Linked DNA regions of Elephas maximus indicus. The protein of the gene in region 1 interacts with the protein of each later gene in a pairwise test. Links are inferred from orthologs where the notes say so. Each region holds a gene or a part of one and is shown on either strand. Other genes may lie near its edges.

Region 1 (7,636 bases):
CAGCTCCAGGGAGTCGTCCTCGTGCTGCCCCGCCAGTTCCCTTGTCTCCTCCAGCTCTGCCACCAGCTGCAGCACCTGAGCCCTCAGCTCCTCCAGCTCTGTCTCCGTGAGGCTCAGGCCCCGGTGCTTGCTGACAGACAGGGAGCCCATGCTGCCACCTTTGTGCACTTGTTCTTCCTCTTCTTCCACCTCCTCTTCCACCTCTTCTTCCTCCTCTTCCTCCTCATAGAGAGCTGGAAGTAACACCTCCCCTAGGAGAGACACCCATCCCACTAGGGGGTCAGAGCCACCTTACTTGCAGCCCTTTGAGGGCCCTCGAACTCATTATCCCAAGACACAGATGGTTTAACAGTGCCACCTGGTGTCCCCCAAGGAGCCCTTGGGCAGGCCTGTGCTCCAGTGAGAACTCAGGTGTGAGGGTCAAGTTTGGAGGCAGCCCCTCCCCCTCACAGGCCCTCTGGACCAATGTTACACTTGGTGGTCTCCTACTACTACCTTCAGGCAAACGGAGCAGGCTGGTGCTGGCTCAGCCATATGGAGCTTGCACAAGGATACCTGGTTCTTCTAGTCCTGGCCTCTGGGTCGTGGGGCAAGTAGTTAAGAAATAATTCAGACATTGGCTACGTCTTCAGGCCAAATGGTGCAAGGGTTAGTTTAGGGGTTTGTGGAAAGTTAAAAAATTAACCAGGTGGCTTGTGAGAAATTAGCCTTTCCATGGTAAGAAAGGAGTCTCTGGGATGTACGAATGATTAACGCATCCAGCTGTGAACTGAAAGGTTGGTGGTTTGAATTCACCCAGAGGTACCTGGGAAGAAAGGCCTGGCAATCTACTTCTGAAAAATTAGCCACTGAAAACCCTGTGAAGCACAGTTCTACTCCGACACACCCAGGGCTGCTATAAGTCAGAGTCGACTTGATGGCAACTTTTTTTTTTTTTTAATACATAGTAAAAAGCATTACATGAAAGGAGGTAGAGAAAGAAAATATCACACAAAATGATTCTAAATGTTTCACTGGACAAACAGTGGGGCCCTTACAAAGGTATATTATCAAATAGCCTTTTTTGAAGTGTTCTGCAAAGTCTACCTTCCTTTTCCCTGTGGGTGGCATGAGGTCCCCCCTGTCCTACCAGGGCATCACGGGGCTTCTCCTCCTGCTGACCACAAGGTGGTTCTCAGGGGAAGTCTTAGGCTGGACTGGAGTGTAAAAGGAAGTCCATCCTTTAATGCATTCAGAAACTGGGGTGTGTCTGTCCCCTCCTCCGGCTGGTGAGCCCCCCCTCCTTGCTGCAATGCAGTTCCTCCAAATAGCAAAATCTTGCCTGGGTGGCAACTGCTTGCTTTGTTTTAGAATCTGACTCTCTGGTCTTATTTTCTCCGATATCAGGAGCCTGAGGTTCACCTGGGGCCCCCTGTATCACCTGTCCTCCATGGGGGGAGCAGGGTTGCCCACACTGAGTGTGCACAGGGGCCTGGCGACACTTCACAGAAGTCCTGGAAAATAAACCAGCATCCTTCCAAGGGCATGGGCTGGCAGCCACTGCCAAGTCACATTGAGTTTAGTGGGGAGATGGGTGGTGGGAGGCTGGCCTTCTCACCTGGCCCTGCTAGGCCCTGTCTTTTCAGGCAGTAAGATACCAGAGAGAACCAAAGCCACAAGCTTCATCAGAAGTGAGCCGTGGTGGCATCAGGAAGATAGTGCACATGCCCACTTGCCTGCTTTTTCAAAATAAGGGCGCTTTGGGTTTAGATCTGACAGGGAGAACAGCCCCTGCTGAAAGGATCCTTTGACGTTCTGTCCAACAAGGCTTCTTTCTCTGTCTGGCAGCTCCCCTGGGACACACAACCTGGTTAGATGGGGACTGGGGCACCAAAGAGATTAGCCCAGGACTTCCCTCAAAGCCTGGGCCCTGGGGAAGGGTACGCTCAGACAAGAGAGGAGGGGGCTGAGATAAACTGAGCGAAGGACTGTTTCCTGGCTGGGAGCACTGAGGGTCAGAGGGAGGAAGATGGAAGGAAAGAAAATGGGGGTGGGGGAAGCTTTTGAGAAAACTCACCCTCCATAGCTTGCATCCCCCGACGTTCCAGAGACCCCCAGCGTTGGCCTTTCTTCCTCTCACAACCCTCAGATACTTCAAAGGAGCCTAATGTGGTTACTGTTGCTCCTGTGAACAGGCAGAGAGGAAGGGCTGGGGGATGCCAGGGGCGGGCCTGGGGTGGTGGGAGAGAAGGTGACGTGCCTTCCAATCCTTCAGCCCTGGGATTTTTAATCCCAGTGGAGGTCCCTGCCTCCCTCTGCCCAGCTCTGAGACTCCCCTCTCTCAGCCAACGGGACCCCCGCCTGCCTCGTCAGCACCCCTGTTCCGGGCTCCTCTCCTAGCTCCGACAGAAGGAAGGTGTGTGTATATTTAGCCGGCAGGGGACGGGGAGGAGGTGGGCCAGGATGCAAGACAGAGGGCAGGAGCCTGTAAGGATGCGGCCGAGATGGTGAGGCAGCTCGGGGAAGGGGCGGCAAGTGATGGGGGCTGTGGGAAGGGGTTGCGGGGCTGGACTGCGCCGCTCCGCCCCCACCCCTGCATTCTCTTTCCAAATCCCGTCCTCCCCCCTCGCCCCGCGTTCAGAAGCCTCCGGGGCCGGAGGGTGTGCAGGGTCGGACCCCCTTCTCAGGCCGGCGAGGTGAGCTGGAGAGGGCTCCGGGGAGGGGCTGCCAGGAAGGGCGCGGCCGAAGTGGGAAAGATGGGGCCCGGGCTGGGTGGGGGGCCGGGGCAGAGGGAGGGAGACTCGAGGCCGAGAGGCAGGGTGTCCTGCAGGGAGAGAGGGTCTGGGGGCCTAGAGGGAGGGGGACCGGGAAGAGGAAGGGGGGTGGTGAGGAGTGAGGGCGGGCGGTTCTGACCTGGGCCCGGGCAGCTCCAGCCCGCGGCTCCCGCGCCGGCCCCGGCGCCGGCCTCCATGGCCACTCCGCCGCCGCGCCCGGAGCAGACGCCGCACCGCGAGGCCGGGGACCGGGGCCGGTGCGCAGGAGGCGGTGGGAGGGCGGGCAGGGGCGGGGCCTGGCGGCCACCTGACGCCGCCGCCCGGAAGCCCGCCTTCCTCCCGGCTCCCGGACCCGGACGGGCGGGCGCGCGGGGGTGGGGCGACCCCCGACCCGCTGGGTGCCTTCCTGGTGCCGGCACCGAAGGCAGTGGGAGGGGCCGGCCGCATCGCCGACGGGAGCAACTGGCCGCTTGAGGCTGGTCCTGGGGGTGGGTCCTGCCCCGACTGGGCGGTGCGCTGGGACCCCGCTGCCACCATGTGTCCGGGCGCGCAGTGATGGAATGGGAAAGGACACAGATGGACCAGTGCCCCTGGCCTGTTTCCTCCTAGCGCGCAAACACGACACTCCCTTCTCTCCTCACCCGCAGGGCCGGCGCTCCCCACCCCACAGTCGGCGCGGACCCCGGCCTCTGGCGCCCCAGGCCAGCGCCGTGGCCTCTCGACCCCGGAGCCCTGAGGGCAGGAGGAGGGAAGCCACGGCCTGGGATATGAAACTGTCCCCGGACCCTGGCCCTCTGGGTTTTCCTCGCCACCCCCTACCAAGCCTGAGCCAGTAGCCCACTTAAGGAGAGGTCCCCTCCGGTTACCCTACGCAGCCCGAGGCGCCTGAAGACCTCCTCTCTCCTCTGCCCTGCCTCCCCACCCCCCGCCCCTCATCCAATGGGCTGCGAGCTGAGACCCCCATCCCACGCTGCCCCGCTGCCTGCTCAGAGTGGGCGCTGTTTTTCACTCTTGTAAAAGGGCGGTTTGGAAGTCCAGAGGGCTTATTTCACTTATTCATTCATTCATTCATTCAGAGACTGTCACCGTGTGCTCGTGTATCTTGACGATGCGTTTGTCCTCACACTTCTGCAGTTCTCAGCCCGAAAGAAGTGGGGACACTTGTGCCTTCGTTTCCTAGGGCTGCCTTAACAAGATACCACAAACTGGGTGGCGTAGAAGAACAGACATTCGTTATCTCACAGTTCTGGAGGTTGGGACTTCGAGATCAGGGTGTTGGCAGTGTTGATTCCTTCTGCAGCTTTGAGAAGTGATCTGTTCCAGACCTGTCTCCTGGCTCCTGGCAGCTCCAAGATTTCCTTGGTTGCAGCTGCAGCGTCACATGTCTCCCTGTCTCTGTGTATCTTCTCCTTTATAAATCATGTTGGATTAGGACCCACCCTACTCCAGTAGGCGCCTTGGTGGCACAGTGGTTAAGAGTTTGGCTGCTAACCAAAAGGTCAGCAGTTTGAATCCACCAGCTGCTGCTTGGAAACCCTATGGGGCAGTTCTGCTCTGTCCTGTGAGTTGGAATTGACTCCACTGCAATTTTTTTTTTTAACTCCAATATGACCTCATGTTAACCTAACTGATAACACCTTCAAAGACACTATTTCCATAACAGGGTCATATTCACAGGTATAGGGATTAGGACTTCAACATATCATTTTGGGGGACACAATTTAACCCATAACGACTTGGGAACTAAGGCTTCCCAATATATCTGGAAAATTGTTGGGAAATTCCTAAGCCGGGGCACGCACCAATCCCTTCTCTTGCATATCCACTCACAAGGTCATGGGCATATGTTGTTTGTGTTCATCCCCACTGGTTCCCAGGTTCACAACCCTCCACCATGATGTTCTACATGGAAGAAGCCCTTCTTCACCTGGACACCCCCTACTTACCTTTAAGTGCTCTGTTCCAGAGTCACGTCTAGGCAGCCTTCCCTGACATTCACCCCAACCCCACAGATGCCCCTATTGTGCCATCCCACGGTCCCTGTCATCCTTCCTCTGTCACAGCACCAGTCACTCACTCTGGATTGACAAGACCAGGTTTTCACCTTTCTGTCTGCCCAATTTCTTGAAGGTATGGAAGTATCTCCATCACCTGTGTGTCGCCAGCACCAGACAAAATGCCTGACACTTAAAGGTAAATTTTCCAACCATACAGCATATTATTAAAAATATGATTTCACTGATATGCAGTTAAATGTTGCCTGTTAACTCTTTTGTCTATCCCCACCCCACCCCCAGCCTGGTACTCTGAGAAACAATGAGACATCAAAGGTGTTTCACCTGCTCCCCAGAGGACAGGATTCCACCCCAGATCCTGTGGCCAAGGTGATCTGGTCTTGGGGAAAGGCAGTTGAGCAAGCCCACCCAATCTCTTCAGGAGGGTCTTTGCAGACATTAGACCTGTCAGGATTTGAGGAGCGGGACACTTGTCAGGGGGTGGAAAGGGGCCGGCAGTAGGCAGGGGGAGGGCATAGAGGACCTGGGCATACAGAGGCCAATGCTGGAAGCCAGTGGTTGTCCCTTCTGCTCCGGCACAGCTCCTGGTTCTGGCTCAGCCTGTGGGGTCTGGCTAGCAGTTGGCCTTGACTGCTGACCTCTTGACTGTGGAGGGAGGGACAGGGGAGGCTGTAGTTAACTGTGACACCCAGGCTTTCCTCAGGGAGCTCTGATCCTGAGTGTCAGGACTAATCTCTCATTTGGTCCTGGGGTGCATGTCACCATTCACCGTGAACTTGGGGAACATTCAGAGGAGACCTGAACCAGTCTATCCCCAGAACCCAAATGTGGGTAAATCTTGGCAGGACAGTACTGAGTGGAGGGTGGGGGTGGGGGTGGGGGCAGGAGGAAAGGTTTTAGCAGGTGTCGGGGTGGGGTGAAATGTGGTCCCGGGATGACTCTCTGAAGGGCTGGGAGTGGTGGGGATGTTAGCCAGGTGATCAGCTGGGAGGGAGATGATCTGAATTAATCCTCCTAATCCCTGGAACCAGGACTCAGCCCCTCTCCTAATCCCATCTCAGTGGATCATCCTTTCTGAGGATTGATGCAGCCATTTATCCTCCGTTACCCTTATTTCTAAATGCCTAGATCTTTTCATTAAAAAGAAAAAAATAGGAATGTTTAAACCTTCAAGACACGTACAGTACAGAATGACATAACATCCGTGTATACACCACTGAAATCCAACAGTTGTTACTATCTTGCCACATCGGATTCAGATGGAGCCCTTCCATTTATGTTTTCAGTTTTACTTTATGTGTATGCATCCACAAACAATACATAGTATTGATTTGTATGTTTTAAAAAACCTCTATAAATGATGTTATATTGTATACCTTCTTCTGCAAACTTCCTATTTTTCATTCAATGCTTATTTTAGATTTATCTGTGTTGACATATTGCTCCAATTCATGATTTTTAATTTTGGAGTCTACTTTATTGTTTGAATAGACCACAATTTATTTATCTATTCTTCTGTTAAAGGACGTATAGACTGCTTCCAGTTTTCTGTATTATAAACAATGTGGAAATTCCAGCAGTGGAATCTCTGGGTCAGAATACATGCATCTTGACCCTTTCAAGACCCATGAAGCATATGGTATCCCGTCCACTTTTTATGCCTCTGGAGTTCTTTTAACACATTTAGCCTCAGGGTGGGAACCTTTTGAAATGCATGAAGCTCAGAAGTCCTGAGTGGGAGCCTCATTTTTGTGTAAAATGAACATTGTCTTAGGTGATGCCTCTCAGATACATGAATTTTCTAAACTTTTGACAGGTTTGCCTTTTTTGTCTGTGAGATAGGCCTCCTCACTGTTTCCCAGTTACCATGTTCTGTGAGAGTGTACTTATTGTGCGAGTAAGCTATTGCCAGGCTTCATTCAGTCCTAGTGGCCATTTTCCACTTCATGTCATTCATTGTTTCCAGGGTTTACTTGCTCCCTTCTTTTCCAGCTTCTGAGCGGTAAATAATGCCTTTCCCATAAGGAATAATTCTGGGTAGTGGTACTTTTCAAGAAATTGGAACTCCTATAAGTTATTCTTACCCTGCATTCAGTCTTAGGGCCCAGTCATTACTTCCATGTGTAGCGGGTAGAATGCACCACTGTGAACGGGTCTGCAGTGTTCCAGGGCAGCTGTTTCTGCTTCTTAGCTGTTAGTACTGCTTTTGTTATAATGAAGAATACATAGAAGTGATAATTTTCCTGAGATTCAAATTCCTTGAGTTTTATTTATTTTGCCTGTATGTATTGCTTTTGCAATAATGAAGAAAGCATTGTATTGCTAATTTTCCTGAGATAAAAAATCCCTTGGCGTTATTTATTTGGGCGGTAAGTATACTTTTGCAGTAAGGAAGAATGCTTTGTACCGTGTTTTTAAAAAAGTTTCATGAAAAATAAAAAGGCTAAGAAGAAGGAGACTAGAATAAGATGTATGTGCAGTCATTGCCAGATGCCTTCATGTTGTACAAATGTTCAAGAAATAAAATTTTAAAAATTAAAAAAACCTGATTTGATCATTGACTCATATCATCAGGATTTACGTCATCCAGGGGCTGCTGGGACACATGTGATCCGGATACTGGGTATCAGAATCCACAACTCATAAGAAAAACTCCGAATTGGTCCTTTAATCAACGTGCCTTCATTAGTGAAAACATGTAATACCAACAAAAAATTTAAAGGAGAAAAGAACTGGGTTTTGAAATCACTGTTGTCCAATTGCTCTATAAAGTAGTTGGACCAATTCATTACTAACACTGGCTTTAGGGGCCCTGGTGTCACAGTGAAGCCCTGGTGGTACAGTGATTAAGAGATTGGCTGCTAAACA
Region 2 (7,125 bases), on another chromosome or scaffold:
GACGCTGGGGGCAGGTGTCAAGAGGTGGGAGCCAGTGGGGAAGAGTATAAGCTGTAGATTCATTCTGCATTCAAATTATAACCCCTCCTCTTAATAAGCTTATGATTTGGAGAAAGTTAATGATTTTTTGTTCCAGAATTTCCTCCTTGGTACAGATGTAATGAGTGCCTGCCTCACAGGGCTGTTATGAGGATTAAATACATGGAAGTGTTTAGTACAATGCTTCACTCTTCAAATGCTCAAAAACATAGCGTAGTTTTTTAAAGCTATTAATTTTAATAAATGTAGAAAATGAAATTAAGGAAATTGCTCTATTAACTGTGATTTAATAGAGCAATGCGATTATGAGCAATTTTGCTTGTTTTATACTTTTCTGTATTTGTCAGTTTCTGAAACGAACATGTGAGTTACATAAAAAATAAAACTAAGCTTCACAGACTCATGACAATGATGAGTAGTGATTTTATACCCTATTAGCTGAGCAAGTTGTGTCTGTACATTTTGTAAAACTGACAATGCTGTCTCATTACCAACAATACTACTTTGTTTAAAACATATATAAAGGACACTTTTCCAAAAATGATTGTATCACAAGATCTTTAATGTTTACTGATGGTGGGACTGTACTTGTTTTCAGTAAAGTGTGCCAACTACCCACATTGAGACCACTTCAGTTCAAATCACTGAACTCCCACTCCCCACAGATGTATTTCCTGTGCCCAGCAAGGACAGAGAGGGGCCTTGACATTTCTCTTGGTCTGGCCAGCTTTACTGGAGAGTTCTTCAAAACTCTCCATGAGCAGTCTTAATCCCAATATACATCATCTCTTCCATATAAAAGAATAAGATGGAAAATTTCTCAATGTATTTCACAAGTTTAGCACGTCTCTGGTACAAAAACCCAAGAAAGGTAGCACAAGAGAGAAAGCATGAAGCAAGCTTACTTATAAGCAAACATGCATAAATCCTAAACGCTAGCAAATATACCCCAATGAATACAACATTGCATTAAATGGTATAAAAGCACTGTACTGAAAACTGAAAGTTACACGTGAAACACTGCACTGTAAATCCTGAATACTCTAACGCCCCCCACCCCTCCACAGCACTGGTGAGGGTCAGATCAATCAATCTGCCTCCCGACCTTGCTAGTCCTCGGAAATACTGCTGCGGAAGGCGTGGGCAATGGTCTCAGCCTCCCGCAGGGCTCTGGCCTCCTGGAGAGCTTCTCTGTACCGGGAAGGCCAGGCCTGGGGGTCTTTCTTAAAGACCCTAGACAGGAACTCCATGATCTGCATCTTGGTAATTTCACGGCAAGCTCTGGGGCCCCAGAAGAACTCATACTCGGGTGGCTCAACGTATGGAACGCGTTGGTACTTCAGGTAATTCTGCTGAACAAACTCCTCCGTGATGACCTTCCTCACATCCGCAAAGGTGGAGTGCTTCCTCCAGGGCCGCAGCCCCAGGATGCGCAGCACGTTCCAGACCGCGCTCTCTCTGGCACCGCGGCCCTTCACGTAGATGAGGCTAAGAATCATCAGCAGGAGACCTGTCATGGGCATGTGGTTGCTCAACGCCATCCTGTCCAGCTCCTCCGGCTCCAGCGCCTTCACCAGCGAGAACTCCATCGTGTGCAGGTTGGTCAGCCTCAGGTGCAGCCCGAACACTCGGGCGAGGATGATGCTGGTGCGTTTGAGAATGCTTCTGCACCATTTCTTGTAGCTTCCGATGACATCCTTCACTATGTCTGGGAACCAGATGACCATCTTCCTCTGGTCCTTGACAAGCACGTACCACATGAGCTCGTGAGCCTTCTGCACCAGCTGAGCAGGGGTCGGTGGCGCCAGGCCTGGCTGGGCCTGGGCCGCGCTCTGGGCCTGGCAGGCGCAGTCTTCTTCCTCCTCCAGCAACAGAGCCCTCATGTCCCCCTCGTCGCTTAGGGCCTGGGGCGAAGGCGAAGCCTGGGGGGCGTCCATCGGGCTAAAAGGGAGGCTCTGCGGCTCTCCGAGGGTGGCGGCCTGAGAGGCTGGCGGCGGACCCTCCATGGGGACCCCAGGGCTAATGCACACCTCGGCATGGGAAGCCTCGGCTGCAAACCTGGAGTAGCCCAGATCCTTACTTTGTTCCGACATGTCTGCTCTGTCTGACAAGGGCAGGGCCTCTGCGTCCCGGAGCTCTTAGGATCTGCGCTCCCTCTGCGGACTCCTGGAGAGGAAGTGCGCGCTACTGCGCGGCGCCTTCCGCAGCGGAGAGCCGGGGCGGAGCGGGAGAGCGCGCCTGCGCGTCTGCAGGCTGCGGGGCGGGGGCCCTCGGCCGGGCCAAGAGCCAAAGGGGCGGGGCGGGGCCGAGCCCGAAGGGGCGGTCTTGCAGTGGTGCCAGGGAAGAGGCTAGAGACCTCCACTAGCAAGATGGCAAGAATGAGTTCAGATTTCCTGTTTGGGCTAGAGAGGTGGGGGTAGGGGCCAAGGCGGGTGGCCGCTGGAGAAGAGGCAGGTGTATGGGGAAAGATAACTTAAGCTTTTGAGAGACTTGAGGTCAAGTTTCTCAGGAAATGTTCAACGGGAATAAATGTTCAACCAGAATTCCACCAGAATCAAGTTAGATACAAAAGTCCTAGAGAAAAGTCTATGCTGTTGTGTAAACTTGGCTATCATAAATATAATTTAAACCAAGGGAGCATTCGGGATTGCCCAAGAAACTGTATAAACTGTGAGGAGGGTGTCTGAGATTGGAATCCTGAGAAACACCAATAAAAATTGATGTTGTCCCTAGCAAACCAGAGGCATTATAAGGAGAAACACAGAATGTAATTAAAGTCATTCTCTATCAGGCCATGTGAAAACTGAACGTTTTTGGAGATAATAAGCTACTAACCCTTAGTGTTTTAATGGTCATTGATTTTGGTTTTCCATTTCCTTTGAGTTACATTTATTTCATTTCGACTTTTCCATAAGTTCCTATAATACAAAGATTGTCATATTTATTAGCACAAGCTTGTATGCTAATGTATTTTTCCTTGTTTGCCCAAAACACTCCCACCCCTGATTACTTCTACCTCCACTCTGTGTTCATGTGGATGCTCCTACCTTCTCAGATGATCCCACTCCCACCCTCTGGCAGCACCTGAATGGTCCCACCTTTGGGAGCTTCACCCAAGGCCTTCCTCATATTGTTTTTAGATGTGGGGTGCATAGATATGTGTCAGTCTCTCTCACATGTTCAAAGGTAGAAGATGAACATATTTATGGTCTTGTTTCCCAAGTGCTGAAAACCCATCGGCAGTGGGCAAAGATGAAGCTGACACTCCAAGGGCGTATCCGTGAAAAAAGGGGCCTGCGTTGAAGCCCCTGGGACTAGGGCTCTTGAGATTGATCAGTATCTTCGGTCTGAGCTGAGTTTTGTCCTTCAGCCCTTGCTGAGTTTCCTCAAATCAGCGGCTCCTCTTAAATATGCTATCTCAGGTCTGGCTATTGTCACCTGAAACCCAAAGCTTGTTTAAAATATGTCTTGACATATCTACAGTCCTCTCTTAACTTGGTTATATCTCCTTCCTCATTTCTCACTTTATTATTTCTCAAGTAGATTTATTTATTTACAGTCATGCATCGCTTAAGATCCCCAATATGTCCTATGAAATAGGATGTTATGTGATTGGGACATTGTGTGTACACCATATTATGGATGAAGGTCCTTTCAGGCATTTGCTTCCAGAATAAGTGGGTTTTGTCCATATTAAAAATTTCATGGGGAAAATAACCTCCCTCTACAAATACTTTATCAAAGATTCCAACAAATTCTTCTGCTGCCTTTGAATCAGCACTCACAGACTCACCATTTACTTTCACATTAAACAGCAAAAAATGTTGTTTGAAGTGCTTGAACCACCCAGAGCAAGCAATAGACTTGATATCACAGTCTGATCTTGGTTTTTCTTTACGCATCTTGAACAAGCATTGTGCCTTAGCAGTGATGGTCAATGTGGTGAGAGGGATTGCTTTTGTATTTGGTCCTCAGTCCACATCATTACCAATTTCTTTATGTCTGATATAAGTCCCTCTCCAATTTTCATTAGCATTGTAGTTTTCAGTGGATCCCATCCTTTAACAGTTTGTTTTTCTCTGTTTTTGAGGATCGTGGTGATTGTCCAGTGTGATATGCCTAAATCTGCCATGTCTGGCTCTCCTATCAAGATTTCTGAGCTCTATTATAACTTTATGGGGCTAGGGTCAGATATGTGGTTGGACATTGCCTGAACGGATGTTATGAGGCACATTACTGTGTATTGTGCTGTCTCATTCTTATCGTTGGGTTTTCTTTCACACGTGTCACCTTTAGAAGAAGCACTCTTCCATGGGTTCCTCCAACAGGACTTCTTAGCCACCCACATCACGAGTATAATTCCTACATATCATACAGATCTGTTTTAGTTGTTTTTTTTGCACTTAGCTTCTTCTTTAATTTATAAATTTCTAACATTTTCTTGAATATATCTTACAGAAGTATGATATACCTTTATTTCTTTGTTTTTTAGAATGGTGCTTGTATAGATTTTTTGCTCTTATGCTTCTTAAATATAATACTTTAACCTCCATTAATTTTCCTCTTCTTTCTTTAGTTTGGATTTTTATATTTTTCTAATTATTTGAATTAAATATTAAGTTCATTTAATGTCTTAAAAATTAGGACGTTTGAGCCTATTATTTAAATCTCAGCTCATTTCTCACCATGGGCCATAATTTCTGCTGATGCAAATTTATTAAAACTACATCCTCACAGTTTACCCTCCTAGATTTAGCAAATTGATGAAATCAAATTGCAAGCTTGGGCACAGCTGTTACAAAAATCAGTTATTACTGAAGTGGGATAGCAGATCTTCAACTAGAAAGCTCCTTAGGCTTGAGTAGCTGCCTGGAGCAGGACTGGATAATTGAGTTCCTGCTTGGACCTCATTCTGGTGAGGTCACCGACGCTATGCTGGAGAGTACACCCGCACCTCTGCCACAGCTCATTTCACACCTCACTTCTTACAGACCCTGTGGATTAGAACCACATAGGGATTATTTTAGGAGAGATTAAAGCCTCAAAACTGATTCTCAATTTTGAAATCAGGTACAGAGTAAATCTCTGGTGCTACTCTCCCTTGAAGCCCAACTATACCTTGGTACTGTTATTTTCTTCCCAGGAAAAGATCTGATGAAGATGCTCGATTTCCCAATAAGAAGAAAATTCAATAAGATGGGGAAACAAAGTAAAGCTTAGGATAGCGCTTAAGGGGAGAAAACACGTGCACATGTGCCATGGGAAGGATTTTGTAGCTACTTAATAAGGTGCCAACCCATAAACTAAAGATGCAAGAATTCAAAACTATAAGGAAAATGACAGCTGACATTATGGGAAAGAATAGGAAACCAGTGCTCATGAGGTATGCACAAATGCTTAAACCCAAGGGTCAAGATTTGGGGCTGGACCTCCAGCGATGTTCCAAGAGTGTTGGGGATAAATTAGACTTGCTCGGTATCCACGAGACTGCCCTTTTTGATCTGGGCAATTAGTCTTCTCAGGAGCAGCAGCTTAGAAGCAGAAGCCTGATACTTACGATAGTATCTCCCCAAAGAAACTAAGAAAAGGATATTCTTTAAATCAAGATTCTGTAAATAGAAGCTTCAGGGATGCAGCAAGTATATGGAAAGTATATGAAGAATTTTCTGGAGTAGACAGTTTGCTGGTTGGTTATTCCAAACTATAATGTGGAACAGATTAAACAGCTGTGGGATAGGCCGTTCTTGGCAGACAGGCTTAGGAAAGGAGGAGAGGCCTGTCCTGGCATTGGTTTCCATAGTAAGCAGGGGAAGGGGGCCACTTCTGACAGCCTCCAGTGGACAGAGCATGCTCATGGTGCAGAGGCCCAGAGGCCCTGAGTGAAAAGTAAATCCTTCTGGCTCTTTTCTTTCTACATAGACAGCACCATCCACCTTGGACCCCCAACTAGGGTACCAAAGATCTCACAAGCCACAGGTTTGAAACAGAACTCATGTTAATTTGTTAAGCAATTATTATTGAGCAGTATTTGTTATGTGCCTCACAGATTTGCATTGTAGAAAAGTAGCTCAATCCAAGGGGGAAACCAATGACATCATGGACTATTTGGCAGCTAGACCTTTTTTTGTCAGAGAATAATAAGAAGCGAGGATAGGCAGTGCTGCTTTCCACATTTGGGAGAGTGCAGGGGAGGAGATTCAACCGTTCACTGGAGACCTTCTAGTCCTGCCCAGATCCACAGTGCAGCCTGCCAGCACTCAGAGAGTAAGGGTCAGGGTTGTCTTTTAGAAAGATCACCTGGTTACAGGATTAAGTCTGGAATTTGGGGCAGGTGGGCAAGTAGAGACAAAGGGACCAATTAGGAAATTTTCGCAGGAATCCATGTGAGAAAAGCTTGCAGTTCATCTTCACATGGCAACTATTAAACACTAAATTTCAACCATTGTGCTAGGTACTGGGGATATAATAAGAAAGACATGGTCACTGCAATCTGTAGTATGGGAAGTGGTGGTGGAAAAGAGCCACAAACAATAAAACAAATGAGTAACTAAATAATCATTAATCGTGATGCATATCAGGAAGGAACCACAATGCTGTCAGAGAGAAGGGAACAGAGGCAACTGACTTTCAGTAGGGATGGTAGAGAAGATATAAGGAAAAATGAGGGGCTAACTATGAATACCAGGGACAACCAAGATTCTGTCCTGGAGATGACTGAGTTTGGGCAGTGCAGTCTGAGAAATGGTGGTGCCATTTCTTGAGGTATATGGTGGGAAGGGTGATGATTTTCTGAGAGCCTGGGGAAGATAGAATAGATATGCCCAGTGGGTATCTGGATATAAAGCTAGTTGCTGGTGAGTCAACTCCGACTAGTAGAAACCCATGTGTGTTAGAGTAGAACTGTGCTCCACAGGGTTTTCAATGGACCGATTTTGTAGAAGTAGATTGTTAGGATTTTTTCCCAGGCACCATTGGGAGGACTTGAACCTCCAACCTTTCAGCTAGCAATGGCATGCATCAGCCTTTTGCACCACCAGGGGGACTCTATCTGGAAATATAGGTCCCAGGAAAGAGGCGTGGGCTAAA

What was found. The genes of interacting proteins can lie anywhere in the genome.
Region 2: the proteins of CCDC136 (region 1) and NDN interact in a two-hybrid assay, tested with the Homo sapiens proteins (2 studies listed by BioGRID). The link is inferred for Elephas maximus indicus from reciprocal best matches to the Homo sapiens genes CCDC136 and NDN.

The regions. Positions count from the first base shown.
Region 1 is NC_064826.1:21,273,107-21,280,742, forward strand, and holds the start of CCDC136 (coiled-coil domain-containing protein 136), read right to left. Parts: upstream 3,023-7,636; 5' UTR 2,951-3,022; coding exon 2,893-2,950; intron 2,165-2,892; coding exon 2,057-2,164; intron 252-2,056; coding exon 1-251. UniProt on the Homo sapiens protein: May play a role in acrosome formation in spermatogenesis and in fertilization.
Region 2 is NC_064831.1:99,136,058-99,143,182, forward strand, and holds NDN (necdin), read right to left. Parts: upstream 2,253-7,125; 5' UTR 2,133-2,252; coding exon 1,149-2,132; 3' UTR 587-1,148; downstream 1-586. UniProt on the Homo sapiens protein: Growth suppressor that facilitates the entry of the cell into cell cycle arrest.